Linked DNA regions of Oryza sativa Japonica Group. The protein of the gene in region 2 interacts with the protein of the main gene of each other region in a pairwise test. Links are inferred from orthologs where the notes say so. Each region holds a gene or a part of one and is shown on either strand. Other genes may lie near its edges.

The links.
Region 1: the proteins of transcription factor MTB1 (region 2) and protein TIFY 10a interact in binary tests that used the Arabidopsis thaliana proteins (3 or more experiments, as listed by UniProt). The link is inferred for Oryza sativa Japonica Group from reciprocal best matches to the Arabidopsis thaliana genes AT1G01260 and TIFY10B.
Region 3: the proteins of transcription factor MTB1 (region 2) and protein TIFY 9 interact in binary tests that used the Arabidopsis thaliana proteins (3 or more experiments, as listed by UniProt). The link is inferred for Oryza sativa Japonica Group from reciprocal best matches to the Arabidopsis thaliana genes AT1G01260 and JAZ10.

What each region holds. Positions count from the first base shown.
Region 1 is NC_089037.1:16,849,960-16,860,657, reverse strand, and holds protein TIFY 10a, read left to right. Parts: upstream 1-4,339; 5' UTR 4,340-4,565; coding exon 4,566-4,686; intron 4,687-4,968; coding exon 4,969-5,071; intron 5,072-5,720; coding exon 5,721-5,980; intron 5,981-6,084; coding exon 6,085-6,142; intron 6,143-6,242; coding exon 6,243-6,387; 3' UTR 6,388-6,750; downstream 6,751-10,698. Other genes in the region: uncharacterized protein, read right to left, coding at 8,316-8,403, 8,503-8,601, 8,667-10,150. UniProt on the Arabidopsis thaliana protein: Repressor of jasmonate responses. Jasmonoyl-isoleucine (JA-Ile) specifically promotes COI1-TIFY10B/JAZ2 interaction. Activated by MYC2, MYC3 and MYC4 transcription factors.
Region 2 is NC_089035.1:7,504,771-7,515,468, reverse strand, and holds transcription factor MTB1, read left to right. Parts: upstream 1-6,008; 5' UTR 6,009-6,334; intron 6,335-7,036; 5' UTR 7,037-7,041; coding exon 7,042-8,895; 3' UTR 8,896-9,262; downstream 9,263-10,698.
Region 3 is NC_089038.1:19,854,469-19,865,166, forward strand, and holds protein TIFY 9, read left to right. Parts: upstream 1-5,765; 5' UTR 5,766-5,811; coding exon 5,812-5,932; intron 5,933-6,050; coding exon 6,051-6,241; intron 6,242-7,753; coding exon 7,754-7,841; intron 7,842-7,965; coding exon 7,966-8,020; intron 8,021-9,997; coding exon 9,998-10,109; 3' UTR 10,110-10,415; downstream 10,416-10,698. UniProt on the Arabidopsis thaliana protein: Repressor of jasmonate (JA) responses. Interacts with and suppresses RHD6 and RSL1 transcription factor activities to negatively regulate jasmonate-stimulated root hair development.

The DNA.
Region 1 (10,698 bases), on a different chromosome or scaffold from region 2:
TGTGGTAGTGGTAGCAGCAGCAGCAACACAGGGCACTGTGGTAGGGAGCAACAGCACAACTTGCGGCGGTAGCAGCAGCAGCGCTTGTGGCAGCAAGGGCAGTAGCAAGAGCAGCAACCACGCCGCAGAGTAGACAGCACAGCAACAGCGGGATATAGGGGTATCCACATCCTAATTTTCGTGAAAGCTCATCTTCTAACAGTGTTAGTTTAAGCTGGGAGTTTAATGGTAAGTGTTTTGGGTTTCAACGTCCGAAATATGCAATTGTGTTTTTTAAGACGGCAAATCTATAATATCGGGTCCACATCGATTCGTGCTAAGTCTAGAATGCACCCACGTCATCCCCGCGTGGGCAGCTCGGGCGACCGAACCCTAACCGCCGCTGCCCAAACCTCCCCCTCGCCTTGCTGCCACTAGAGGGAGCCACTGAGAACCAGGCAATGACCTAGGACGGCAGCGGCGGGGCTTAAAACCAGGTCCCGCGCGCTGGATCTGATGCGGCAGTGAGGACAGCAGAGCGGCGGCTGTCGGGGAGGGCGGCAGTCAAGGAGGCGCGGCGACGGGGAGTCGACAACCCCTCTTCTGCATAGGAGCCTAGGCCAGCGCGACGAGGAGGCGACAAGTCGGAAGGTAGCCGACGGCGGTACGGATCTGGCCGTGGCTGCAGTGTGCAAGGATGGAGGTCGTCGTGGCCATGGCGTGCCCAGGGGTCTCTTTCAGTGGCCGACCATGGCGGGGGCAGCTCGCAGCGGCGCTACTAGTGTCCCTAGGCCCATGGGATCATTTGTAATACATGGAAAGGGGTAGTAGTCAAGGAAGCCTATCTCGTATCTGTACATGAATGGTATGCACCCGGATTATAAGGGATACCATATCACACATGCCGCCAAATCCCCCCAGCACTATATAAGGGGCGCCGACATGAACCATAAGGGGTTACGCTTTCTTTCACACACATCGGACACAGATCTAATCCACATACAACTGGACTAGGGTATTACCTTGCATTGAGAGCCTAAACTAGTATAAACATCTGTGCCACCATCTCTCCTTGATTTAGAGCACCCTATAAATTATATTGTCGTTCATAAAAATCGATAGATTCCCATAAAAAGATTTAGGGGATTGAATTTTGACACTCTGCTGGTGATGCTTTTATGCACAACATCAATAGATGTATTATGGTTACAAGTGGTTTTAAAAAACAACGGCAACCATATGGTTAAAATACCTTAAAAGTTTTATAAGGCAGGTCATTCGCATAGAGAAAATGTACTCAAGCTCCCATAATATTATTCTTTTTTTATATATAGAAAAAAAGGTACTCCTTCGCAAGGGTATGAACATATGAGTTGAGCCAACAACGAGGATGAAACCATGCCTTCGTAACGGTGCGCGTACCTTGTAGAGGGCACGGTAGCCTCACTCTACCATAGGGACCGCGAAGAGAAATGAGAACCCATCCCCACAGCCATGCACATGACTCGGCACCAGGACACCATTACAATGATGCAAAGAAGGAGTTGGTGGCTGACATAAAGAGGGAAATGCTGGCGTCAAGCTTGGACTGCTCCGACGAGATCTGAGAACCTCAAGGCCAGATCCGATGGCATGTGATGGAGACGGCAACGGGGGCAGCAACCAGAGCGGAGGAGGAAGTGGTGATGGCGAGTTCACAGTGATGAGGATGGCTAGCTTGAAGCACCAATGAGGACTGGGAGATCGAAGTGGAGATTTGGATGGCGAGCTTGAAGCACCGAAGCCAAAGAAGGTGGGAGCCTCCTTGACTGGCGCTCGTCGATCCCGGAGCTCGGTGGTAGAGAAAGAAGGGGTGCCCTTGACTGCCGACGTAGCCTCGTTGACTTGTCCAAAGTGGTGGAAGGAGAAGGGATTAGGAGCAGCAGCTTCCACCACCAATGAAAACATCAGCTTGCCGCCTCGATTTGTGTTATCACTGAGGAGAGGGAGGACATGGGAGGAAAGGGCAACGAGAAGGGAGCAACGATGAGGAGGGAGGGAATGTGGTAGATAGGAGAGGATGACGAGCTTAGAGAGAGGAAAAAAGAGTATGAGAGTGGTTGACAACGTGGTCCATAGGAAGCCAAGGATACATATATATTTTTTATGTTGTCATAGGTCAGAAATATAAATTTTTTTAATATATTTGATAATAAGAAATATTCTTAGGGACTTAAACATAAAAACATCTGAGTTGGCCTGAGTCCACATGGGACGTTGAGGATACTAATGTAAATAGCTTTGCGTCGTGTATGTCTCTATAAGACGGTGATGTATACAAATCATATGCTCTCTCTAGAGTAGCAAACAAGTACTACTTATATACCATTTCTTCCGTGTTAAAATATAGTTATATAATAATATAGATTTTGATAAAGTTTTGTCCAGATTCATAGTATTATGCAATAATATAGCCCTTTGGATCTATTTAAATTCGTAATATAAGGATATGATGTGTCTAAGGGTGTCTTTGGTTTCTAGCTATACTTTGCCGCCATTTGTCAACACATATTACCACACTTGCCTAAGTTGAGACGATCAAATTCTTGGCCACACCTTAGCAGGCCTAAGGGAATCTTGCCACACTTTTTTGAGTCAAAGACGTGTGGAGTCCAATTTGTTGGAAAAGAATCTTGACACAATTGTGCCTACAACCAAACAATTGCCAATATGGTCCAGCCCGGCTAACATTGGGCGTAACAAACTATGGCAAAGTGTTGCTGGTAACCAAACACCCCCCTCCCCCTCCCTAAATTGTACTCCCTCCATCCTAATATAAGTGCAATCTAGTATATGACATATTCTAATAATACGAATTTAGACAGCCCTTTCGTCCTAATATGAGTGCAACCTAGTACAAATATGACATATATTAGGATTACGAATCTGTGCAGACAATTGTTCAGATTCGTAGTATTAGGATATACCATATATGTACTAGGTTGCACTTATATTGGGTCGGAGAGAGTAAGTGCTAGTATTCCATTCATTTCATAATATAAGGCACAACTATTTTTTAGATGTTTCATAATATAAGGCATGCATGAATGCATGCCATTAACTAGCACATCTTTCGCACTATGATTTTTTTTTAAATCCTCCATCCTCAAAATCTTTAATCCTAGAGAGAATCTATTCTATACAATTGAGTTTGTTCGAGTTCAACGATTTACCATCGACATTGTCGATTTATATTATATACCAACGACTTTATCAATCGTTCATCAATACGCCATTGGGATATGTCTTCTTTTCAAAAGTACCCAAATTCCTCTTATGGACATATAAGATTAACAATTGATTTATCTCATTAGGAGTTTAAAAAATATAAAAAATTTTATGTGACCTCCTTGCATAACATGGAAATTTGTATAGAAGTTTCGAGTTTTTATATTTCTATTTTTTAAAAAATATAACTTATCTATTATATGCTATATAAAATACTTTTTATTGTTGTTTTAATATAAATCATCTTTCATACAATGCATAAGATATTTTTATGATATTATCTCTTGCGTAAGCAAATTCTCTATCATATACCACATAAAAATATTTTTTCTAAAATCTAAATATACCATAAAAAAATTTCAAACTTGTATACAAACTTCCATATTGTGTAAGGAGGCCACTACAAAGTTTTCATATTTTTTTAAAACTTTAGATGAGATAAATCAATTGTTAATCTTGTATGTTCGTAAGGGTATTTTGGATATATTTGAAAAGAAGGCCCAACCCAATGACATATTGTAGAAGAATTGATAAAGTTACTGGTATATTATAAAAAGAGATAATGTCGATGGCAAATCGTTGAACTCGAACAAACTTAATGGTATAGAATATATTCTCTTTTAATTCTATTGGTGCATACATTATAGTTATTTGGATGATCTAAACTATGAGATGATAATAGAGTCTTATATTCTTATATTTTAGAATGGAGACAGTATCTTGAGATGAGGAAGGAAGTACTACTCCATCCAAAAGAACGAATTCATAGCTACGAACCTGAACACATATATATATCCAGATTGGTAGGTAGGATTGGTTTTTTCTGGTACGGAAGGTTATGCATTTTAGGACGAAGGGCCCCACTCCTTTGTCGGCCACGTTGCATCCAATCAAACCTAACGTCACGGCATACCACACCGGCACACAGTAAACACAAACCAGGAAAAAGATAACGAGAGAATAGGAATCTGCGCACCTTGCCAATCTCCACAACAATCACGTGCTCAAACAAAGGCACCAACACCCAAACTAACTTTTTTTTTTCCCTCGCAACTTGCGATTACAAAAATCGAAACTTTTTCGTCTTAAAGATAATCCCCACCATTATTGTTATTGTTAGTCTCGTGCGTCCCTTATATAGAACCTGAACCGCCGGACGGAGGAGGAAGACAACTCAGAGACAGACAAGGACGAGCAACCCGCAACCGCGACCAGAGGAGAAGACTCGATCGAATCGAATCGAAGCGGGAGGATTTCGGGGGTCCGTGACTCCGTTCGGAGAAAAGGATTCAGCTTGTGGGCAGAAGAAGAAGAAGAAGATGGCTTCCGCGAAATCCGGGGAGAGGGGGAGCAGCAGCTTCGCCATGGCCTGCAGCCTGCTCAGCCGCTACGTCAGGCAGAACGGCGCAGCCGCCGGCGAGCTCGGCCTCGGCATCAGAGGTCACCTCCCTTTCTTTTTCTTTTTTTCCTTCTGCAAAGTCTGGATCTTTATCTTTACGGGTTTTGGGTGAAAAAAACCTCCCCTAGGAAGGTTTCCGTGAGATCTGGTCTAGTTCTTCGAGCTTTGGAAGCGAGAATTCCCCCATGTAGAATTTTATTCGGCTTAAACCAGTCTCAACCATTCCAATTCTGCGCATCTAGCTAGCTGTAAAATTCGCAACATTTTTTTTAAATCTGATGTTGTGAATCTGGGCTGAAAAACTATGTCATATCATTTTTCAGGTGAAGCCGATGCGAACAAGGGGAAGGAGACCATGGAGCTGTTCCCCCAGAATTCCGGGTTCGGCTCTGAAGCTGCTGCCGTGAAGGAGACCCCGGATGCGAGGTACTCAACACAATCTTTGTTCGAATTGCTTCAGCTATCAGTTCATACGGTTCCTTTAGCTGTAGTCACATGATAGGAGAAACCAATAGCAACAATCCAACCAAACAAAGTAGTGGTTGGTAGGTAGTGTGGAGGAGGAGGAGAACATCTTGCCTTGTCCTGACCAGATCTTAGTGCTGCCAGGAGCTGAGCTGGTCAGCTCTCGGGTCATGGTCTGAAATCTAATTCGTGTGTAAAATGGATATAATTTAGTTTAGAGTTCTAGGGATGGATTTCGGTGTGATGGAAAGGTTCGATATTTAATCCAATATAGAACTGGTGCTATGCAAGTCTGCAGTTCCTTCTTCTGTTTTTTGTGCGAGTCGTTTTTTGTGCGAGTCAACGATGTATGTCTCGCAACTAATAACCACGGGTTTCAGACTTAGTGGGCTCGCACGATCCGAAAGTGAAAATGTTCTGACTCGAGTGATTCATGAACAAAAAACCCAAATATTAGTTGGTACTTACTACAAGTTATTCTTCTGAACATATGCGTAGATGGCGGGTGCTTGCTGACCGATATCAGTTAGTAAATAGTTTCTGTTGTGTAAGCTTTAAAATTGGTTAAATGGTTGTGTTTGTCTAAGCTTTCTTGTATTTCCGTTGTCAGGGAGCAAGAGAAGCGCCAATTAACCATCTTCTACGGTGGGAAGGTCCTGGTGTTTGATGACTTCCCAGCTGAGAAGGCCAAGGACCTGATGCAGATGGCCAGCAAGAGTTCCTCCACAGCGCAGAACTGTGTCCTTCTTCCATCTTCCGCTACTGCAACCGTTGCCGACAACACTAAGGTGTCTGCTGTACCAGCCCCAGCAAGTGCACTTCCTGTTGCTCAGGCCAATGCCCCGAAACCTGTTCGTCCAAATGCTGCTGGTAACTACTCTAACCTCGGCTGTTATTGCTTGCTCTGAATGATGGAATATACTTGTAGCATGTGAATCCATTTTATTGTACTAACTGTTCTTCAAATCCTGCAGATCTGCCTCAGGCTAGGAAGGCGTCGCTTCACCGGTTCCTCGAGAAAAGAAAGGATCGGTAGGTTATGCTTGCTATCATGGCAGCACAAAGTATAGTCAAATTCTACAATTCACAATTCTAGATTTTGGATCTAACTTTTGCTGCTCCTTTATTTCAGCCTTCAGGCTAAAGCACCCTACCAGGGTTCCCCTTCAGATGCTTCTCCGGTCAAGAAGGAGCTGCAGGAGAGTCAGCCATGGCTTGGGTTAGGACCTCAGGTTGCCGCTCCCGACCTGAGCTTGCGGCAGGAATCGAGCCAATGAATCAATGCTCAATTCTGAGATGCCCCTCTCATCAGATGATTCAGTCATAGAGGTTATCACAACTCTTGAATTGGGTGTTTTGTGTTAGGAGATGATCCGATGACAAGGCGATGTTCTTCTGATATATATACTAGGATTGAATGTAAAGAAAGTAGCTGATGATTATGACCAGTAATCTGAATCAAATTGCTATGATAGAAAGCAGAAGATTCTGTAATCAGTACAACCCAAGAAACCTCATTTGTACCAATTCAATATCGTTTTGCTTTGGCATTGCCATGTAGAAGCAAAGCAAATGTACTGCTAATATATACACATCACAAGATTGATTGTTATTCACTTACGCCTGTTTCCCCCCCCCCCCCCCATTAACAGGATGCATCTCCTTTTGCTGTTTCCAACATGCATTCTTGTATGAATTTTGAAGCTCTATTCAGAAACTAGAATGTTATTTGGACATGCTGAGTAGTACTAGTGTACCATGATTTGCAAGCCTTTGCTTGGCCTCAGAGGTTAGAAGACAGACAGCTCAGAGAGAGAGAGAGAGAGAGAGAGAGAGAGAATTGTGGCTCTTGGCTCTTGCACGACCTGAAAACTTGATGGAGACGAGGCACGCACACACACACACTTGTGCATACTCCGTCCAACACAGGAAGAAAACGTGTTTTGACTCAGAGGCAGCATCTGCCACTTGCACAAATGAATAGAGAAAAAAAAAAGATAAAGATAAAGATAAAAGAAAAGGAGAAGAAAGTGATGTATAACGCGGCAACGGCAGGGCGTCCGGGGAACACGCAAAAATGCGCACGTCGCTCTCCGGCTACATTCAGCAGCAGCCCATGGTCGGAATTTTTTAAAAATTATTTTTTTGGGATGAAATGACTCTCCATTTTTTTTTCTCCAAGGGAAAAGAGAAAAAAAAATAAAATCATTTTGGTGACATTGAAGAAAAACTGCATGTTCTGCGCATTTTAAAACCGGGACCAAACCGGGTTCTGCCGGACAAACAGTGGACGATCCACGTACATTAGAGTAAAGCTCACGTTCGGAAATGAAGAATAGTAGTATTTTAACATGGCTCTTGCCTGAGACTACGGTTGCCTGAGACTACGGGTGTGTTTAGTTAACGCCAAAATTAAAAAGTTTGGTTGAAATTGGAACGATCTGACGGAAAAGTTAAAAGTTTGTATGTGTAGGAAAGTCTTGATGTGATGAAAAAGTTGAAAGTTTGAAGAAAAATTTTGAAACTAAAATCGGTCTACAGATGCATGGTGGCCGGCAGGAAAGCAGTTTGTCATCCAATATAATGCGAGCCCATTTGCTCGTGCCCACTTCCAGCAACTTTATTCATTTCGCGTAACGTGCATGACCACTCTGCCAATTGCCATGCCAGCCTATGATAATTCATGGGTCAATTGCATATTTGCCACTGGATTGAACAGGTATTGTGGATCTACCACTAAAAAAACTGTAATTGCAAATTTGCCATTAAAAACAGTTTGAACCCAACATAACTGCCACTGGACTCACAGCTTAGACTAACACCGTTATATGGCTGGTTTTCATGAAAATTAGGACAAGAATGCCCCTGCCCATGAAATTGTAATATTGACAGCATTTTGGCATCAATAAAACACCATTTGAGACAACAAGCAAGAGAACATAGTCAACTAGCGTCATTCTGGCATGAACACGGTAACATAATCAAACTAAATGACAATAGTTGAGGTTCACATCATATGATTCATCCTCACATCCAAAAGACAACTACATCTGACTAATTCAACCAACACAGTTAGAGGTTTACATCATATGATTCATCCTCACATCCAAAAGACAACTACATCTGATAGTAGTGTTCTACATCATATCAATTTGATAGGACAACATGGTCCAGACCATTAGAACCTTCCCAAAAGACAACCGCATCAAATGGATGCCGCAACAGAACCTTTCTTCTCCTTCCCCTTCCCTCTTGCTCTTGGTGGTCTTGTTGACACATCATTTGCATTGCCACTGCAACAACAATTCTATAAGTCAGTACCTAAATCTGAATACAAGATGCAAATAGATTGCAAATGAGGATGGAATTAACTAGTAAGAAATACTAATTACATGGATGATCCAGTAGTATTTTTTTTGTTTGACCTAGGTGTTGCACCAGGAGTATTGCTTCCTTGATCTGAGGATGGTGTTGATGAAGATGACCTTTTCCTGTATAAAATCTGGAGTGAGCAGCCAATTTACAAATGAAAGGAAAAAAAAAAGATGACAAGTACCTTTTGCTAGCTATAGGTCCTCCCTGACATGTCTTTGCAAAGTGGCCTTTGTCACCACATTCAGGGCATGTCCTCTTCTTTCTACAGCCAGACTCATCTGAAGCTTTAATCCTGTGTGTCCTAGGCCTTCCAGGCTTTCTCCTCAACTTTGGCCTCATCAATTTGAAACCAGGATCTACAAATGTCCACATATTCTTTGATGTCATTGGGTTCCATATCCCAGCATATGTTTGCCTCAATCTTTGCACTGAATAGCACTCATCCACATAGCCATTCATGTCAGGAAACCTTAGAGAGCCTATGAATGCCAATGCATGGTTACAAGGTTTCCCACTTACTTGCCAGGCTCTACAAGAGCATGTATGAGCCTTTAGGTTCACTGCATGCCTCCATACCACTCCCTTATTGGACACCACAGAAACTTCAGCTAAATCATCGCAATTACTCCTTACCACATTGTAATCTTTTAGATTCTTGCTCTGTTCATTCAGTGTCTTAATAATAGATGGAATTATTCTTCCTTCCATTTTGCTTGCAAGTTGGCTCCTCAAGTGAAATTTGTCAATTATCATTTGCCTAAGTGTGTCAAATAAGTCCACTATGTGTAATTCCTTGATCTTCATCACCCAATTGTTGAATGACTCAGAAAGATTGTTGTTGATGTAGTCCACCTTTGAAAGCTCTGAGAATTTGCTCCTACTCCAAAAAAATGGGTGATTGGTTTTTAAATATGCAATAGCTTCAGGAGATTTCTCAGCAATCTTGTTCATGTGATAGTTGTACTGCTGGCTGGTGTAGCACTTAGCAGCAGGCCACATGTTTTCACCAAAAAGTGGTCCATGGTACTGCTTCTTGAAGTTCTTCCACAGGTGTCGCATGCACTCTCGGTGCTCAGCAGTTGGATAGACATCACTAACAGCTCTCTCTAGTCCTTTCCCAGCATCTGTGCTGATGGCTAGCCCAGGAGGATTACCAATAGCATTCTTCAAGTTCTGCACGAACCATGTCCAACTCTCCGTTGTCTCAGCTTCTATCACACCAAATGCAACAGGAAAAAGCCAGTTGTTTCCATCTATTGCAACAGCAGCTGCCAGCTGTCCTCTATGCTTCCCTGTCAAGTGTGTTGAGTCCATTGCAATATATGGCCTACAACCTTGTAGGAAGCCATCAATGCAAGGTTTCAGAGCTATGAACAGCCGCCTGAAGCATACTTGGTCTTCATGAATCTCGGTATCAATATCGACAATACTTCCAGGTTGTGCCTTCAAAAGCTCCTCTCTAAAAGTGGGCAGCAATGCAAAGCTGTCTTCCCACTTCCCAAATATCTTCTCAAGGGCCTTCTCTTTGCCTCTAAAAACTTTGTCATATCCTATTGTAAATTTGTACTTCTTCTCTAGCTTGACCTTCAATGCACTAGCTCCTAGAGTTGGAGTCTCCTTCAGCCAATCTATAACTCTTTCAGCAACCCAGCTATTTGTTGCCATGGCAGCCCCAGTCTTATTTATGGAACAACAATTGTGGGCAGGCCTATTTACCTTGACCTGCACATATAACAATGTAATTATCAGCTTTTTATGCATCAAATTTAACCATGAAATGATAAAATAATTAACTGAACATTTCAGCACAAATTTACCTTGCAGCCATAGTATTTCTTACTTGTAGAGGCATGAAACCTCCATTTACAACCCTGCTCTTTTTTCTTGCAAAAAGCTCTGAATCTATGCTTGTCCTTTTTCTCAGTTTCAAAAGAATAGTCATAGATTATAGCATGGTGTGTAACAGCTTCCTTGCAAGTAGTAGTATCTGCGAACACCTCTCCTTCATCAATACATGGGTTATCAAAATCATATGCAAACACATGCTCAAGGTCAGAGTCATTGTCATCGTCATCATGTATTTGGTCATCAAGATCATCACAATCATATTCAGAGTCAGAGGAGGCTGCTGCATCACTATCATAGCTGCTTTCACTATCAACCTCTAGTGGGTCACAATTTGGGCATAGCTGGGGCTCCTCCTCTTCGTTCTC
Region 2 (10,698 bases):
GTTTTATTGTCTTGTAGTTTTATTGTCCATATATTTTATTATAAAATTATCTTAAAATATATTTTGGGGTTGAAATTTTTAGCATTAACGTTATCTTTGAGTTATAATGTCCAAACTTTGTGATTGAATTGATATAAAACCTGTAGATATCCTTTTGTAATAATCCACCTTATATTTGTACTTATGTGATAAATTTAGTGTTATAAATTTGTAGTTTGTGATACATCATATTAAATTTGTAGTTTTGTGATGATTTAACTAAAGTACCTGTAGTATTATGAAATTTACTCAAAATCTTAATACAAAGATACATACAACTTATACATATTCTCCAAAATCAGTTAACCCGGTGAAAATAACCAAATCATCACGTTATGCTAATAATTCGATACAATGAAATAACCTGCGTTTTTTCTTCTTCTCAAACATACCCCTCCTTAAAAAAATATATTCTAGCAACGAACCTACATGTATGTATCCAGAATCGTAGCCAGAGTTAGCTATCACTGTAACCACGCATGAAAGGCGCAACAATAGACTTTCAACGAGACAAATAGCTGGTTAGCACGGTACATGAGACACACCACCACACCCATGAGATGACGAGCCCATGACGTGTAAAACGAAACGGACAACAACAGAAAAGAAGCAGATAATTCCCAATTGCCGTGCACCACCGGAGCCTCGACGGCGGCGGCGGCGCGCGCCGGCGTGGTGGGGCGGGCGGTCATGAGGTGCACGCCCATCACGTTGGCCCCCACATCTAAATCCCCGCACGCCTTTTCTCGTGTCGCCTACTCGCCCCCCCCCCCCACTTTGTTTTCGGAGGGTTAACACATGCATTAGGTGCTAATAAATCATCATCCAGTATAAGAGCAAGTTTAATAGCATAGCCCAATACTTAGTTCCAATTCACTTATAACTAATCTAATAGCCAGTTCATATAATATTTGCTTACTATATTATTAAGAGCACCCGCAATGGTAAAGTAAGTTGCTCTCTATAAAACATGTACATCTCAGTAATAGACTAGATTAATAGTAAACCACCTCAATAGTATGTCTACATGGGTATCTATAGCTCTCTCTTCTATTGCCTCGTTTTTCTCTACAGACTATCTCCATGTTAGTAGATAGCTTTACTCTCTCTCTTTATTTAATTTATTCCAAGTAGAAAAATATGCTGACATAGATCTCTTTTAGAGAGCCTATAGATAACCATTACGGGTGCCCTAATATATGGTCTCACATATCATATACATATTGCGTTTTAGAGTCCATGCTGTAGCTGGCTACAAATCTGTAGCCCGCAGCTTTTCTCTCTTATCTTTTATCTTATTAAAATATGTTTATAGCGCTGATAGTCTGCTATTGTAGCTGCTCTAATCACCCGGGGTGGGGGCCAGCCGCGTCATGGCGCACCCACGAACCTACCCGCCTGAGTCACGCCTACATGGCCCCCACCACCCCGCCCCCTCGTTGGCCCCACACGTCAGCCTCCCGTGGCGGACACGGCACGAGTGAGGGAAGGGCAGAGTCATTAGCATTAGCGCCGGGGATAGGGGGGTGCCCTGAAAACGTGTCACGTTTTTCCTTAAATAGAGTTCACGTTTCCCACCACCTCGTCACGCCACGCGCACACGCGCCCGATGGGCCCCCCAGCTCACCCGGCGACCCTACCCCGCCTCCGCGTGACTGCGAGGTGGGGCCCACCTAACCGTGGTCCCCTCACGTCAGCGTCGCGTGCGATCTGGGGGTGGACGGGGACGTGGTGCAGCACAAACGGGGGGCTCCTCCTCCTCGGGCGGGGGCGCACGGGTCACGTGGCGTCACGAGCCCCCCCTGAGTCGCCTTCCCGATCCCCCAGCGACACGCGCCGCGCACGTGCTCGCTCACGCGGAGGAGGAGGGGGGCCAGAGCCGAGGCTTCCCCGGCTGACGGCTGGAGCCGATCTGAGCTGAGCCGAGCCGGTGTGGGTTCACGTGAAGGCGGAGACGAGAGGGGTCGACTTGCGTAGCGGCCAGGATCTTCTGCGGTGATCAGGCAAAGGGAAAAAAAAGAAAGAAAAAGGAGGTGTATTTGTTTTAAGTGAAACCGAAAGAGCATATAGCCGTAGTTTGGTGATGTGTATACAGATGTAAAGTTAGAAGTTTAGTGTCGGCTGGAGCAAAGCCGTGAAGGTAAGAGAGAAGCGTATATGAGCATATGAGATTTTTTGTACGCTACCAACCACATTATGCTACTACTAGAAGATATGCTTTTCATACAGGGCAAATGTATTTTTTTTATAAAAAATTTTCTAACCACAACCGTCAGCCATGTCACATGTGATGTTTTATTATAAAGCTACTAATTCCTAGATTAATATTTTGGTAGTTCATCTAAAACTTGTCGAACAGGTGCCGATGAATTTTGAACACATATGTTGTGGATTATTTTTGTGATATTAGGTATTGTTTGATATTGACGACGCATATTTCTGCCTCTTACCATGAGTCGGTCGGCCTAGGTAACCGTCCCTAGTGGCCGGGTCTTGGCTTTGACACTAACACAACTAATGTTTTCGTTTCCTATACACATATAGTTTTTTAAGAACAAAATCTTGCTATTAACAGTTACCTTCCATGTGCATGAAGATTTGTGCCCCTTCTCACCTTCGTCGAGTTACCAAAATTTGGTTCCATGATAGTACCACGCCCAACTTCACTAGCAACCCTCGCCACCACCCCCTAGAGGCAGGGGAGGTTGAGGTGACGAGCACAAACGACTTAAACATGTGTAACAAGGGCATAACAATCTTATTGTCGCTAGTCTCCTATGAAAAGTATGAGGGCTAGAGAGAGGATTGGCAGTAACGAAGGAAGCCGATAGGACTCGTCGGTATATATGGTGGAGTTTGAAGGCATCGCACGAAATAGGGGAGGCAATGAAGGAAGAAGGGGGAAGCGGCAAGAGGGAGTATTATGGTTAGTCTGGGTCGACAAGCGATGCTTTATACAGTGAAGTGTCAAGATCCAAACCACTCAGCAGAGATCATGCTAGTGGAGGGGAAATACTTGATTCAAGTTTTTATCTTAGGTGTAGCACAAGACCCCCAACGTGTGTAAATCTTATTCGTCAAGGTATTGAGATTTCATTACACTATAGAATTATTGTAGGTTCCTTGATTAAATCCTTAGAGCAACACTAAGAGACTCACTAGATGGCTCTCCAAGCTAAATTTTAGCAAATATCAAAAAATCAACCTCCAAAATACTTGCCAACCAGTTGGCCAAATGCCTCCCTTTGATGTTCAAAATTGCCAGCCATAATCAATGGCCATTCATGGGTCCCATGCTGATCCTCTCTTTCTCTCTCCTTTATCACCTTTGCGAGAAGACGTGACTCACACGCACTTCCTCTAGCTCGCCTTGTCCCAGCGCCACCGTTGTTGTAGTCCATCATCATCGCTAACTCAAGCGCCACATCCCCCGGGCACCTAGTGCCACCTTACCCACCCTCCCCTAGCCCAAGTATGCCTTGCTCCAAACTACTACATCGTCATCTTCCGTCATCGTCCATTATCACCACCGACTTAAGGCGATGCCTCTCCTAGCCTCCTAGTGTGGCCTTCTTTCATAGTTTCCCACCCGTTGTTAAGAAGGACGGAGCGAGGTCAATAGGGCCGATGACGTCCTCCAAATCCCAAGCTCTACATCCCCGTCTCCTCCTTTGCAAGGCTGTCTATGTAGACGATGTCTTCTCATTGGTGATAGAAGGCTAGAAGTAGTCATTGGAGAGGGTAGATCGAGAAATGGCATGGAGGAGAACTAGGCAGAGGGGAAGTATGCGAGAGAGACTAACATGTGGGTCCCACTATCATAGTGGAAACTATAGATGGAGAGCTTGTTGGAGCACACATAAAATATGGAGAATTGAAGAGGGATCTTTTTGGCTAGCTAGCCAGCCAAATGGGCAAACAAAGAGCACAATTTGAAAAGAGAGTTTAGAGTTGTTCCTATAAATGCATTTCTCTCCAAGTTTACAATTGAGGGGGAAGAAACTCTAGTTTGGCTTGCTTATTCTACCTTTACAACCATGATTCAATTGCATCTTAATCAGATTTAATCTTAATAGCTAAAATTACTTGCATTGCTCAATCCTATTAATGTGTTAATTCATCTTTGTCCCTGCCCAAATAAATGTCACGAATGCCACATCCGTCGTGGTAAAAGAAAGCAATATGTCCCAAACAAATGTATACCAAAATGGCTTGGAGCGAGTTTCCCCCTTCCCCCAAAGCCCCAAACCGCTATTGAATGGCTTAGGCATACTATATCCGCCACATTGCCATATCCGGGAAAGTCCAAAAATATCTTACGAAGTACAAAATCTTTCTTATATCCATTAGTGCCAACCGAGCAAGAGGGTGGGGAAGGGCATAAGACCCCATGGTTTTGAAATTTAATAAATATCACAAATTCTACTTCCATTGGTGAAAGTAAGCAAGAGGTAAGCTATGGCTTGTAGCGAGCCGGTCCTCTATGCTCTATGAAGTGGTTTGGGTTATTAGGTATCCTACATCCATCAACACTTATAAACATAGGGAAGTTTAAATACAACCTTTTTATACACATTAGTGCCTAAGGGGAGGAAGAACTGAAGAAGGTAGACATGGATACGAAAACCCCTGGTTTTGAAATTTCATAAACTAAATTTATTTAAAACATTGTCATTTACCCACCAGTAAATTTTACAATTTCTAGCTCCTTCAATATTAACATAAGATTGAAGAATCCATCTAATTAGGATACAAATATTAATAAACCAAAGTCATTCTAGTAAAAAAAACTACATTATAAATCACTTATCTCCTCTTGTGGCTTAACCTGATTAACAAATAGACCAATCCCTCCTCAACCTCCGTCTCCTCGAATGATCAAAGAGCACGTGGCCACTATATGAGCAAACCAATTGTCCTGAGCTGACAAGAGTCCAAGGCTTGAATTGAGCTAGTTTCTCCACCCCCACGAGCCACGGATCCATCGGCTCAGGTTCCAGTCCCACCGGGGGTAGAGAAAGCAAGGCACCCTCTTCGTCCTCCTCTCACACCTTCCCTCTTCACACATCACGCGTTGTCTCCTCCTCCCCTTCCCCTTCCTCAAAATCTCCTCAACACGCCGCCTTAGCCTCAGCCCCAGCTCCTCAGCCCTGCGCATGCTTCGATCTTGGTGAATTCAGGGAGCTCGTGAGGTTACAATTAAGGGGAATAAACACTAGTTTGGCTTGCTCATTCAACACTTTGCAGCAGGGTCCAATTGCATCTAAATTATCTGCAGTGGTCAATTCTACTCATTAATTCATTTATGTCCCTGCCTGAATGAATATCACAAATACCATATCCATCGGTGAAAGAAAACATGCGGACCCAAACAAATATAAACAATGGCTTGAAGCGAGCCGGCTCTCCCATACGCCACAAAGCGGCTCGATATCCTATATCTGCAACATCGCTACTTTTAGGAATGTTCGTAAATATCTTATACATGCTAGTGCCAATGGGAGTATGATGGTGTGTTGGAATAGGGGAACCAGCCCCATGATTTTGAAATTCAACAGACTAAATTTGTTGAAACTCATGAGATATAAATGTTACCATTTCTAGCTCCTCAATTATTAACAAGCGAATAAAGAATCCATTAATAATAATAATAATAACCATATTATAAATCAATTATCCCCTATTTTAACTTAACCCGATTAACAAATCAACCCATATGCTTCCCACTCTCCATCGACTCGACTTGAATGCTCGTAGAGCACGCAACCACACTGTGTATGAACAAACCACCAGCGCGCAAAGCCGAGAAGAGCCCATGGGTCGGCGATCGAGCCGGCTCCCCCGCCCCTAACGAGCCGCGGACCGGCTCGGCTCGGCTCGGCTCGGGATCCAATCCCACCGGTGTAGAAAAGGCAAAGGCACCCTCGTTCTCCTTTCACACCTCTCCCCCCCTCTTCTTCTCTCTCTCCACATCACAAGTCGCCTTCCTCCTCCGCCCCCGAAATCCCCTCGCGAACCAGAGAAACCTGAGGCACCACCATCACCACCACCGCCTCCGCCTCCGCCTCCGCCTCCTGCGCGCGCGGCGAATTCGGGGGACCCTCGCGCTCGCGTGGGGTGTGGGTGGGGGGAGATCCGGGCGTCGCCGTCGCCGGGGGGGGGGGAGGGTGCTCGGATTCAGCCAGCGGCGGGTGGGGGGGCCCGCCTCTTTCTTCTTGGGGGGGCGCGGAGGAGACCCCGCCCGTCCTGGATTCCGTGGCCGCGGCGCCGATTCGGGCGCGGGAGCCCCAGCACGGTGAGATTTTCCCCCGCTGCCTTGCTGCACTGTGAGAATTGCCGTATCTATACTGTACTAGTTTGTTGTTGTTGTTGTTGTTGATGATGTGGCTGCTCGCTGTTGCGGAAACAGTGGAATGGATGGGGGTTTGGGATGGTTGGGGTTTGACGAGCTGGGCGGGTTGAGGCGGGAGGAGGGTTTGCTTAGGGTGGAATCTGATTGGCCGCGATCGGCACGGGTGTTTTGGCTGTATCCTATAGCGTGAAAAAGATAGGAAAATTACTGGTTGTATCACTTTTTGCTGGGTCAGGTTTGGATAGAATTCAATCGTGTTTTCCCTCCATGTCTTTTATCCGTTGAAATGGTGCCATATGAAATGTCAGGATTAGTTATAAATTCTGGTTGCACACTTTGTGGACGATTTCTGTTATTTGAGTGGGTTATTTAGCGATTATGTGTCCGCGAATATAATCTGTACTGACGTAAGAGCAGTGAATTTTTTTTATCACTCATCACAGTGTGTTTTTAGCTGGATGATAACTGAGAGTTTTGTTCCTGTTATTCTGAGTTCAGCACCCGATTATTCATAAGTCCAAATGATATTTTGTTGCTTGTGTATTTGTCTAAAACTGTGCTTGTGGCGTCCAGCCAGTCAATTCTTGTGAGTATTACGCATTTTTAGTGCTATATTTGGCCTGATATATATACTATCTTGAGTAGGTATTATGGTGATGAAGATGGAGGCTGATGAGGATGGTGCCAATGGCGGAACTGGTGGGACATGGACTGACGAGGACCGAGCGCTCACCGCCAGTGTGCTTGGAACGGATGCTTTTGCTTACTTGACAAAAGGAGGTGGTGCCATATCCGAGGGCCTTGTTGCTGCATCTTTGCCAGTGGACTTGCAAAATAGACTCCAGGAGCTTGTCGAATCAGATCGTCCTGGTGCTGGTTGGAACTATGCCATATTCTGGCAGCTGTCGCGCACAAAGTCCGGTGACCTTGTCCTTGGATGGGGGGATGGCTCTTGCCGTGAGCCTCATGATGGTGAGATGGGACCTGCTGCTTCTGCAGGTAGTGACGAGGCCAAACAGAGGATGCGCAAGCGTGTGCTGCAGCGATTGCACTCAGCATTCGGAGGTGTTGACGAGGAGGATTATGCCCCAGGCATTGATCAGGTGACAGACACAGAGATGTTTTTTCTAGCATCTATGTACTTTGCATTTCCACGCCGTGCTGGTGGCCCTGGTCAAGTATTTGCAGCAGGCGTGCCCCTGTGGATTCCCAACACTGAACGTAACGTATTTCCTGCCAATTACTGTTACCGGGGATACCTTGCAAATGCTGCAGGATTTAGAACTATTGTGCTAGTTCCATTTGAGACCGGTGTACTTGAACTGGGTTCGATGCAACAGGTAGCGGAGAGTTCTGACACTCTCCAGACCATAAGATCTGTGTTTGCTGGGGCAATTGGCAATAAAGCTGGAGTTCAGAGACACGAGGGGAGTGGCCCTACAGATAAGTCACCAGGTTTGGCAAAGATTTTTGGGAAGGACCTTAACCTTGGCCGGCCTTCAGCAGGCCCAGGAACTGGCGTGTCAGAGGCAGATGAAAGGTCGTGGGAACAAAGGACTGGTGGTGGGAGCTCATTGCTCCCCAATGTCCAAAGAGGTTTGCAGAATTTCACTTGGAGTCAGGCTCGGGGCCTGAATTCTCATCAGCAGAAGTTTGGCAACGGTATATTGATTGTGAGCAATGAAGCCACACCGCGCAACAATGGAGGAGTTGACAGCTCTACTGCAACACAGTTTCAGCTTCAGAAAGCACCACCACTTCAGAAACTACCACAGCTCCAGAAATCACATCAGCTAGTAAAGCCACAGCAACTAGTGAGTCAGCAACAGTTGCAGCCTCAAGCTCCCAGGCAAATAGATTTCAGTGCTGGGACCAGTTCCAAACCTGGTGTTTTGACTAAAAAACCAGCTGGTATTGATGGGGATGGTGCAGAGGTGGATGGCTTGTGTAAAGACGAAGGTCCGCCACCTGCATTAGAAGACCGGCGGCCTAGAAAGAGGGGAAGAAAGCCTGCAAACGGGAGGGAAGAGCCACTAAATCATGTTGAGGCCGAGCGCCAGAGGAGGGAGAAGCTCAACCAGCGATTCTATGCACTGAGAGCCGTTGTACCCAATATATCAAAAATGGACAAGGCATCCCTCCTTGGTGACGCCATAACATACATCACTGACCTACAGAAGAAGCTCAAAGAGATGGAGGTAGAGCGAGAAAGGCTTATCGAGTCTGGAATGATCGATCCGAGGGATCGGACGCCTCGACCTGAGGTGGACATTCAGGTGGTTCAGGATGAGGTTCTAGTCCGAGTGATGAGCCCCATGGAAAGCCACCCTGTCAGGGCCATCTTCCAAGCTTTCGAAGAGGCAGAAGTCCATGCAGGGGAGTCGAAGATCACAAGCAACAACGGCACGGCCGTGCATTCTTTCATCATCAAGTGCCCTGGCGCCGAACAGCAAACGAGGGAGAAGGTGATTGCCGCCATGTCTCGCGTGATGAACTCAGGGTAGAATCAGTTGGGGAGTGGGCGCCACCGGTAGAGGCAGCTTTACTTCGTTCGCTGGTTGCAGACAAGCAGCAAGCAGTCGGTTGGACGGACACCCATCCACCCACCTTTCAGCGCTGTTGATAGAAGAAGTTTGTAGGCAGAGAAAGAAAGCTCAGATTCTGACTTAGCGATCCAAGGGGAAGACAAAGCTCTCAAGTTAAAACTGCCATTGTTGTATGGTAGGCTTTTGTGGTCGGTGTAGTTTTTCTCTTTTTGTTGTTTATTGGGGAGAATACCATGTTCTTAGTTTATTGCTTGTGGCAGAACCATAAACAGTACATCTCGTCAAATGCATGAGTTGGGAAAGAAGTCACCTGCTTTTCTGCTAATTCTGTGTTTTTGTTTGTATCTCAAGTGAGTTGGTGTTTATACTTCGGCATGTTACTCGGGGAAGCTGGGCTACATGGGCCAGTAGGCACATCTGTGATCTGTGTTCTTTCAATCTAGTGACCTTTTGGGGAGGTGACTCTCATCCATTTCCATATCAGGTTTTTGTCGGTTCTTATTTTCTTAGTGTGTGTGAGAGGAATGAAAACGAGAAAATTGAAAAGACACGTAAGAGGTGAGATATTAGTCATTATTAATTAAGTATTAATTATTTTAAATTTTAAACATATATTAACATGATTTTTAAGTAGTTTTATAGTTTTTTTTAAAGAGATAATCCATAAAATGCCATTGACAAGCGTCTAAGTCCCAGAAATACCATCGACAAGTGTGAGTTCCAAGAAATGCCATCGTACAAACGATTTTATCCCAAAAATGCTATCGCCGTTAGGGTTCCGTTCATTTCACGCCGTTAAGTTCTATAGGATGAACAGTGTGTTTAACGGCACGGAATGGACGGAATCCTAACGGCGATAGCATTTTTGGGACAAAATCGTTTGTACGATGGCATTTCTTGGAACTCACATTTGTCAATGGCATTTCTAGGACTTAGACGCTTGTCAATGGCATTTCATGGATTATCTCTTTTTTAAATACACTGTTGATCAGTTTGGAAAGCGGTATATGCAATAAATGAGGGAGTTTTTTTTCCTTTTAACGTGGGCGAGATATCAATAGAAACTGTCTACGTAACATAGCACAAGAAACAGATATAATTGAGTAATGCTCCTATTAAATTTAACTCTGGACCATGTTTTTAGAAAGCCATTTTGCACACTTTTATTGATATGAAAACACAGAACGTTCAGTAAAATAAGGGGCTCATCAATACAAGAACTCTTCAAATCAAATTAGATGTATGTTTAGATAGAACATGTGCCAAAAAATTTGGCTTCCCGGCGAAGCGCTCAACAGAGACTTGCAAAATCACGTCAAAATATTGCATTCATATAAATTTGTTGACGAAAAGCCGCATTGTTTCCACCACTTGGAAGTGTGGCTGCGTTCTTTCAAGGGAGAGATAGGGAAGATTGTGACTCGTTTTCCACGCGCATGCTTTTCAAATTACTCCCTCCGTCCCAGTATGTAACAAGTTTTAAGCTCGTGGACAAGTATTAAATTTTAAACTGGTAGGCGGCAAAAGCACATACGGCAATACAAACTAGTACTCTATTCTTTTCTTCTCTTTCACTGATAACTATGCTGAGGGGTAGAATTGGTAGATTTCTGGTAAAAGTTGTACTAGGTTGTAACATTTGGGACAAATTTTGAATGCCAAAACTTGTTACATATTGGGACGGAGGGAGTACTAAACAGTGTGTTTTCTGCAAAAAATTTCTATAAGAAAGTTGTTTTAAAATATCATATTGATCCATTT
Region 3 (10,698 bases), on a different chromosome or scaffold from region 2:
TGATTAATTAAGTATTAGCTAATTTTTTTTTCAAAAATAGATCAATATGAATTTTTTTAAACAACTTTTGTATAGAAACTTTTTCCAAAAAACACACAGTTTAGTAGTTTGAAAAGCGTGCGTGCGAAAAACGAGGGAGAGGAGTTGGGAAAACTGTGATAAGAACACAGCCATATGCTGTCGGCTCGAACCGAGCACACATACACGCAAGGCTAACAGCGAGAGGAAGGAAATTAGTCAGGAATAGCCGCATTGAAGGAAGCAACGCAGAAGAACACACACAACACACCTGCACGCATGTGGTATACGTGCATAGCCGGCCACCGGCCGGTCGACGACGACTTTTTCTTCTTCATCATCATCTTCTTCCGATTACACGACACGCACATGCATCACTATACACACACACATTAATATCACACTCACACCATATGAATTAATATATCAATGCATTAACACATGTTCTAATCGATGGAAACCGACGGGACATTTTCGATCTCACTGAAAGAAGTAACGTTAACTATATAGCGGTGGGACAGACCAACTTGGTAAGTATGCTTCTTTCTAAATAACTATTATCCTAAAATTTTAATAAATTCCTCTCACTTAATAAGGGTTGGTTGGGAGTTGTTGAGGTAAGATGAGAATAAATTTGAAAGAGAATGGTTGGAATGAGGGGGAGAAGAGGAAATGTGTGGATGAATTAAGCATAACAGACATGTATTGGTCGATAAGGATAGAATATCCGCTACATCATCATGTAGTGAATGCTTGCAAAAATAGACATTATATATCATTGTACTTGTATTTGGTAGTTTGGCTGCACAAAACATATATACTTAGATGCCTACAGTTTGTCCCTAACCGATCCTACAATTTAACGTATGACTTCAGTTAGTAATGATACCTTAACTTGTAATACATATATTAATACTCCAAATGATTTTAAATGAAAAGATCATCAACTTGCAAGCTCATTGAGATATACAACTTTGATATATATGGCATCATCTGACGTCTTTTTCTAAGAAAAAATGTAGATCTTACAAGTTGAAATGTATTTTCTGACATGTAGACAATATCAATTGAAAAGTTGTTAACAAAGTTGTAGATCATGCCATTGAGATCTGCAATTTTCATATAGACCATATATCCATCAAAGTCATTAAAATTTCGAAAAATTAGTTTGTAAAATAGATCTGATAACTTTGTAATGCATAATCTAGCATGTAAGCAATATTAATTAAAAACATTGTCAACTATAAAATTATTATAGATCGTGTCGAGATCAGTACAACTTTGATACATAACATGTCTCCATCATTTTTGAAAATTTATTTTTAAATATATTTGAAACATGTACTGCATATTAAGAGACACGTGTGAATGGGAGTAACCTTTTTTTTTTTTTGAAAACTATGGGAGTAACCATTGACGCAGGTATATATATGTGCCTCTCGTATGTGGTAGGTATCCCATACACTTGTTATGAAACTCCATAATATTGTGTGTGCCACTTATTAATGATTATGTGGTAGTGTGTATATTTAAAACTAGGTGATTCCCTACACCTTGCTGCGAAAATTACTAAGCAATTTTTCCGACAATCAAGCTAGAGGGAAAAAAATAATAAAACATCAAGATTTACCAGTACTTATCATGAAACAAACAAATAATACTCGTGTTTTAATGTGAAACATATTGATAAGTATATGTTAAATATTATAAAAGTGATAGATAAAATTGTTAAAATATTGTGCAAATAATGTGAGGGATGATGATTGGATATACTTGCATGTTGATTTGTAGAATTAAATAAATTGTAGATGATGTTGTATGCTTGCATGGGTTAAATATGTAATTATTGCTAGTGGATGATGATGTGGCATGATTGCGTGTTGAGCTTTAAACTTAATGGGCTATAACTTTATAGAAAGTATAGATATGCAACCAACACATTTGTCATATTTACTAAATCAATAATAATATCCCATGCAACGCCCTCGCTAACCATCAACTTGTGTGATCACTTAGTAGGAGACCACTCTAATTAAGATACTATCTCTTTTCAAATTATAATTATGTCAATTTGACTTTGGTCAAAGTCAAATAACTTTAAGTTTAATTAAATTTATAAAAAATATAGTAATATTTGCAACATTAAATTTGGAACCGGTAACTCAACACATTTTCATAATATATTTGTCTTCGGTTGAAAATGTTACTATTTTTTTCTATAAATTTAGTTAAACTTAAAGTAGTCTAACTTTAATCAAAGTTAAAATACTTTATAATTTAACACAGGAGATACATAGTAGGAGTATATTCAATGGATTAATTAATATTTCTTCTTAACTGAGCGAGATCAGCATGGGCCACCTCCAACCTCCCCTGAAAACACATGATATACGGTTTTGGTACAATGAGAAGTGGTTGGTACCCGAATCACCTTTTGCTTGTCCAGTTTTGCCTACTCGATCCCCTCTCATATGCAATTTTTAGCACGCGAAGACAAAGTGTGTGTTTGGACTAGCAGCAGACGAGAGAAAATTAAAGCGTACGTGCCAGTTGTGTTGGTCGACCATGCGTATCATCGATCGGGTCGTTTTCTCGTGGCTCTGCTGTCTGAGATCTCTCATGCATACACATCCGATCGATATATCCATGCTCTCACGTTCCGACCTTATCTCACCTCACGATTAGTGGGGCGAAGCCATAATTTATACTAGCTGAAACCCTAACCCCGCGCATTGTAGCGGGATATTTTCTTGAGATTGGTGGCTGCATTTGGTAAATTGAAGTGGTACAAAAATCCATCACTATTGAATTGGTCCACGATAAAATTAGATGGGCCTCCCGTGGTGACGGTGTGAGATGGATTCGGCTGTGTTTTTTTCATCCAACGGTTCAAAGATGATCGAATCTACTGATCCAACAACTGAGAATTAATGATGATGTGACACATTGAGGTTTGAGCTTTAGGATCTTAATTGCACTTAGTGGGTTATAATTTTATAGTAAGAAGGGATAAGAGTAGAGGTAAACTAGTATATGTTTTTGTTTTTCTCTAAAAAAAATTTGAAGAGTAATCTCGATGGATATTTGAGCGTAGGAGTAGGGCTAGAGATAGTGGTATTTGAACCTACTGAAGATGATGAAGATAAAGATAAGTGTTTCACGTAAAATGATGTGGTAATAACGTGTGATTAATTGAGTTTTAATTATTACAAACTTAAAAAATAGATTAATCTAATATTTTAAAGCAACTTCCATATGAAAAGTTTTCGCACGAAACACACAGTTTAGCAGTTTGAAAAGCGTGTCACAAGTATCCAAAATTTCATCAACTTCTATATCTGCATATGTGTGATGTCACCCTCGGTTGTCCACCCATGCATATGATGCTTGATTGTCGATTGCATGCACGCAAGGGAGCTACCATATCTGATCGCAGCATGTCCAGCGACAAGTTAGAGTTTATTTACTCAATCTAATCTTAATTTCTTAATCTAAATATAATCACCTTAATTTCTTATGCGGAAATAAATTGATTCATTGACCTTGATGTGAAGCCATTTAAGCCGATGATCTAATCCTTTTATTTTTCTTCTTCTTCTCTTTTCTTTTTCTTCTTGCGACATACATCACGAATCCTTTCCAGTGATAAAATTGATCGGGCGATTGAATTAGGGCTTTAGGGTAGAGAGGATTCGGTGAAGTCGCCTTTGCCTCTTCTCCTCTTCCTAGACATAAGGACATTAGTGGGGTCCGGGGGTTTATTTCCAAATAAATTTAAATCTATTTTGTACGATCACACATAACAGATTTTATCTCTACTTTATTTCTTGTTAGGAAAATAAAACCGATGGAATTTAATTCTTTTCCTAACTAACCAATAATGAATTGATAAAATCAACCAACATGGCCATCAGGACGAATCAATTGACCAAATCCTAATAGCCTTCCCTGAGTCGCTTCAGTTCTAGTGATTGATCCTCAACACTATTGGGCAACCTTATTTCCTGGTTACGACGAGTTTTTCAATAGTTTGGAGGTGTGGCCGTAGAAATTAAATCAACAAGCATCGACACCATTATTGTTTTGATAGCATGGTCGATTTGTAATTAAAGAACACAATAATATATAGGAGTCTTCAATCACTAATAATGCTTTTGTCCAAAGTGGTGACTGGTGAGCACGACAGTTTAAGCTGTTTGGGTGGGAGGGCCTTTCACAGAAATATAAGTCCCTCCATTAGTTTCTCTAAAAAGAACATAAGTTTCTCTAGAAGGACATGTATTCCTATCCCTCCATAGGGATTTATATTTCCGTAAGAGGACTAATAGAGCATAAGAGCTAGGCTGCACGGGGGTCCTCAGCTACCCGCGGCTAGCTAGCACACATAATGGTTGATAGTCGGTCGCAAATCAATACCACAAGACATAGGCCTTGTATCCCTTTTCGATTCTTTTCTTTATTATTGTAACTTGTTGTACAACTTATACATATATTCTCTAAAATATTTGTTGTTAAATGGCTAAATAACCGAATGATTTATGATAATTAAACTGAGTGGGCAAACAAACGAATAAATATATTATATTTTTTATCTATCTATACCTAATTAAAAAATCTATAAAGCTTCCGGTAATACTTTTTTGTCCGTCTTTTTTTCTCTTTTCTTGGCTGTTTTTTCTATCTTTTTTTTTCTTTTCTTGCTGTTTTTATTTTCTGATCCTTTTTTGTCCGTATTTTTCTCCTCTTTATTTTTTTCTAGTTTTTCCCGCAGCAGTTTTTCTGCCGCCGCCTCGATCTATCTTCTTGTACCTTTTGTCCTCTTATTGATTGTAAAAATAGATCCCTACTCATTTCTTATTATTTTAATTTCCTTATGATTTTCCCTTACAATTTGGCTTTAATTCACCGGATCTAATCTCCAGCCGCCGCCTGGGCTGAACCCTAACTGCGCCATCACATCGATCTACCTCCCCTTACGTTTTCTCCTTTAATTAATTGCAAAAATTGATTCCCCATCCTTCCCTCATAGTTTCCCCCATGATTTTCCCTTTCAATTCGGTTTTAATTAATTCGTTGGATTCAATCTTCGTTTAACTGTCACCAATAATGACCGACCGACGAGCTTCCCCATTCCATTTTTATCCAGAGTTTTACAGATTTGCTCTGTTTTTGGGAAACAGAAAGAGGAGATCGAGTGAATCAAAATCCCTTGGCCAGGGAGATCAAAAAAGAATCAGCTGGATTTTTATGGGAGGGCACACAAGGATTCTCTCCCGAAGGTTCAAGACGGTATACTGAATGACATTGCCAGCTGTGATAACTAAGTATTTGTGGACTGGACGAAAGAGAGGCAAGCCGAGCAGGAAGAGATAGGAGACATCAGACTGTGCTAGGGCTAAAAAGGAAAAAAAAGTAATGAGCTTTCGGCTCAAAACGAAGAAAAAATTTTGATTAACATGTTTTCAATTATAGTGTATAGCAATTATAATGTTTCAAGCTATTGCTCAGTTCATAATAGAGTTGTTATACCACTAAGAAAAATGTATTTACCTGTTGCAACGTATTGATATTTTTTTCAAGTTAATCATAAAAATACATTAGCGTTTGTAAGCTTTCTAAAAACGTGCGGGTTAATCCATCGTTTTCATTGGTTAGAAAAAACGAATGGGCGCGGGGCCTCTTTTTTTTATACCCCGCGCGCACCTCCCAACCCAACAAACACCACATTTTGCAGCTGCTTCTAATCTATACGTGTTCTAGCTAAGCTAGCTAGCTAGCTCTCGTTCTCCGGCCATGTCGACGAGGGCGCCCGTCGAGCTCGACTTCCTCGGCCTCCGCGCCGCCGCCGCCGACGCCGACGACCGCCACGCCAAGAGCGGCGGCTCCTCCGCCTCCTCTTCCTCCTCCATCCGAGGTACGTGACGTGACGTCTGTCGACGTCGCCGTCGATCGATGATCTCATCTCACCGCCGCCGGCTAGCTCCGTGTCCCTCTCGATCGATCTGAGTCGATTGCTTGCGTTGCGAGAGCAGGGATGGAGACGAGCGCGATAGCGAGGATAGGGCCCCACCTGCTGCGCCGCGTCATCGCCGCCGCCGGACCTCCGCCACCGCCGTCGACGGCGCCGGTGCCGGAGGAGATGCCCGGCGCCGCCGCCGCCGCCGCTCCGATGACGCTCTTCTACAACGGTTCAGTCGCCGTCTTCGACGTCTCCCACGATAAGGTGTGTAATATACATGAGTAAATTATATTGGTAGTATATAAACTTGTTAGCTGGATGCAACTTAGTGAATAAACTTGTAAAATGCTTATTTCGATGCATGAACTTGTCTAGTTCGTGCGAACGAGGACTAAAATAGCTTGGCAATGTTCGTTTTATAAAGCTGATGTTGATTAGGATGTGACGTGCATATGTGTAGTGAGTATATATAAGATATGCAATATTTATAAATTTCGTCTCTACTTTATTCTTCATCATGGAAGTGATGAATTTCATATATTTCTAACCCTTATATCATTGCTTTTTTTAATCTTTTTTCTACAATCACTATATCCATTCTATTTTTTACTAAAGAGGTGTATTTCTAATAGCAAATCTTCACGTATATATGTTTACATGGTATCCTAATGAGCCCCTAAATTAATAAGATTAACCAGGTAGTGTCCTTTTTCCTTCCTCCGCACGCACCAGACAAGTTTATGCACCAAAACGAGCATTTTACAAGTTCGTGCACTAGATTGCACTCACCTGACAAGTTCATGTACCGGCGATGCAATTTACTTAATATATATTTATCGTCTAAGTTAATTAATCACAAATTATTAGGAGATTATCCGCGATTAGTTAGTTGTTAACACAGTAATATTATATTAATACTGTCGTCGGAGATAGAACGGCCAGCGAACCGGGGCACCTGTTGAACACTTGTACCTTCACCTTCACAGAACGCGTGTGATTACAAAACTAACGAAACTCGGCGCGTTACTGCTGCGAGAATTATGTATAAAAATATTATAAATAATACCCCTTTTGTTTTTTATTATATGTGATATGCTGTTGACTTTTCATTGATCATTCATCTTATTAAAAAAATTTATGTAATTATCATTTATTTTATTCTGATTTGATATATCATCAAATATTCTTTAAACATGATTTAAATATTTTTTATATTTACATAAAAATTTTGAATAAAACGAATGGTCAAATATTTGTAAAAATTCAATGGCGTCATATATTAAAAAATATTAAAAAATGGAAGTAGTATGTAAGATAGCTGGATGATTATTTACTTTATATAATTTTCATCTTTGATTGATCAATAAAAAATTATAAACAATTAAGATGATATGGTTTATAACAATTTAAAACATTCAAAAAAAATGAAACTAAGGTGATGTGACTTAATAGCAAAACAAAATAAAGGGGGATAATATAGATTAATTACCCAAAGACAAAACTACGATGATATGACCTTTCCTAGGAGAAGAAAAGTCTGTCCATTAAAAATCATACAGCGTTAACATAGAATTAATTTACAATCAAAATCATGGTGTAGGATCGAACTGCACCAAGTCTAAATTAAAAGAGTTCTTGTTTTTCATGCATGATGGCTGGAAGGGATGCGCACAATGATATACTATCTCCCTTAAATTAGCTTGATAGTGGTAGATAGTACAATTTCATAGAGATACAATCTTCTCAATGCTTTCCCTTTCCATATTCCATCCCTAGGCAGAGGCTATAATGAGGATGGCAACCGAGGCAACTAAAGCAAAAGGACTCGCTCGTGGCAATGCAATTGTAGGCAATTTTGCCAAAGGTTTGTTAATGTTAGTAGAATTGTTGCGAAAAGTAATCAGCAGAACAACAAAAATATGTTCTTTTTTAATCTGTTTTTTTTCCTGTGGCTTATAGTATTGTTCTTCAACTCTTCTTGTTTGCAGAGCCACTCACAAGAACTAAATCTCTGCAACGATTCCTCTCCAAGAGAAAAGAGAGGTATAGACAATGCAATTTTCATATATTTTGTTTGTCACCTAAATACACATTTTTTCCTACTCCCTGCGTTTCAAATTAATTATTATTCTAGTTTTATCATAAGTTAAGCATTTGTATTTTTTACCACCAATTTCCAGAAGTTTATATAATTTAACATCATAAGATTTATGTTTTGTATTCACTATGAGAAAACTTTCACAATATATAATCACATGTTTTTGCATTATTCAAATTTTTAGATATCAACGAACAAAATAGAAATATTTGACTTAGGACAAAATGAATGTGAAGTAATTAATTTGAAAAGAAAAGGAGTATGTATAAGTACATAGAAATAATGATTTGATCAAACCTTTTCAAAAAGAACTCAATTACACTTAAATAAAAGAGTATTAACATTTTCATTATTTCTCTCTCTAATTGGAATCTTCAGTGTGAGACTAGCTATCTACCTATAGTTGTATACTGTGGAAGCTCATGGTAGCTAAAGCTACCACATGGTGAGCTGACCGGAGACCCCAGAAGCCGTGTGGGCCCGGATGAGCAGTGCCCATCGACCTCTTACAACCACGTTTTAGTCGTGACGAATTAGTGCATGGAAAGTCTATGGGCTATGGATCATATCGACATGTGTGTGGAGGATAGCAAGTTTGCATATGCAATATCTCGATCGATTTGGTGATGATATATATATCGCAATGAAATCGATATATGGGGGCTGTACTACTTCATTGACCAACTAGCTACCGAATCAAATTAAGACTTATCGCAGCTAAAGAAGCAATAAACTAACTGAAAGCAAAGATATGTCTTTGACCACACCACACGCACATATCATTAAGGCTTTGATTTGATTGTGCTTTAAAAGATCGGTTTGGTTCTGGTTGTGTGTTGGCTAAGGTGGTGTTTGGATACAGGACTTAACTTTAGTCTCTATATCTAGACACTAATTTAAAGTATTAAATATAGACTACTTATAAAACTAATTACATAAATGAAAGCTAATTTGCGAGACAAGTTTTTTAAGCCTAATTAATCCATAATTAGAAAATATTTACGGTAGCATCACATAGACTAATCATGGATTAATTAGGCTCAATAGATTCGTCTCGTGAATTAGTCCAAGATTATAGATGGGTTTTATTAATAGTCTACATTTAATATTTATAATTAGTGTCCAAATATCCGATGTAATAGGAACTTAAAAGTTTTAGTCCCATCTAAACATGGTCTAATTCGTTTGTCCCAGACTTGAAAAATGTGGCACTGATTTCTCTTCCTTTCAAATATATATATATATATATATATATATATATATATATATATATATATATATATATATATATATATATATATATATATATATATATATATATATATATATATATATATATATATATATATATATATATATATATATATATATATATATATATATATATATATATATATATATAACCATTAACTTTTAAACATAACATTTAACCATTCTTTTTATTAAAAAAATTAGTGTAAATACGATGAAAAATAGGTAGCCTTTAAATTATCTTCAACAACAAAATTAAGCCGCAACAAAATAATATGATACCTATACAGCATTTTAAATAATACAAATGATCGATCCAAAAGGGATCGAATAAGTGATACTTAGATAGTTTTTCAAATAAGACACATGATCAATTCGAAAGTTAACATCATCATATATTTAAAAATTTAAAAATTGAAGTTAGCCAAACAAACAGGTGTAGTAGGGTAGTGTAGTAAATTGTTGGCTAATTACCATCCTGCTCAACGACGTTGCCAGTGTCACTTTCCATCCTTTTGGGGTAGCTAGGTGTTGACCTAGTTAATACTCCAATAATCACCACCAAACCTAGCTACTTTGTTACCCACTTTAACTAACGAATATATATATATATTTTGCATTGCCTTTTTCTTTTCTTTTTTTTCATTACTAATTGATATTGAAACGTGCAGGTTGACCAGCTTGGGTCCGTACCAGGTGGGTGGGCCCGCTGCCGTCGGTGCGACGACGTCGACCACCACCAAGTCTTTTCTTGCGAAGGAAGAGGAGCACACGGCGTCCTAGCTAGCCTCCTAGCTAGCTAATTACTGTTGATTTGGTCCCCTTGATTAATCGTTTATTATTAATAATTATTTCATTGATTCCATCATTAGTAGAGGGTACAGACCAGGCAGGGGCCAGTTAATAATCCTGTTTAGTGTTGATCGATCGATAGATTAACCATACTCCATATGTAGGTCTGTGTGTAATATTGATTTATATATATAGTAGTATCTATAGTTGATTACAAGGTCATGGATTTTATGGATGTGTAAAGCAAGCTTAGAGTGAATATTGGATGCATTTATGATTTATACTATGTAGTTGTACAAATTACTCCATCCATGTGCCTGAGTTATTTTGTTTTTTTAGACTGAACATGTGCTGGGAACGAACACCCATATTATTTCGCTTATGATATGCTTATCTGTAAGGTTTATTAGTAAATAAAAATAATTCATGAGTATTCAAAAGTAAATTAACTCTAAAATTAAAATTTAAAATTCAAATTAACTCTAAAATTAAATTTTAAAATTCAAATTTTGACTTAGATAAGCATAAGCAAAACAATAAGGCTGGAAAATTTATGGTCATTATATCAGACTCTCCACTC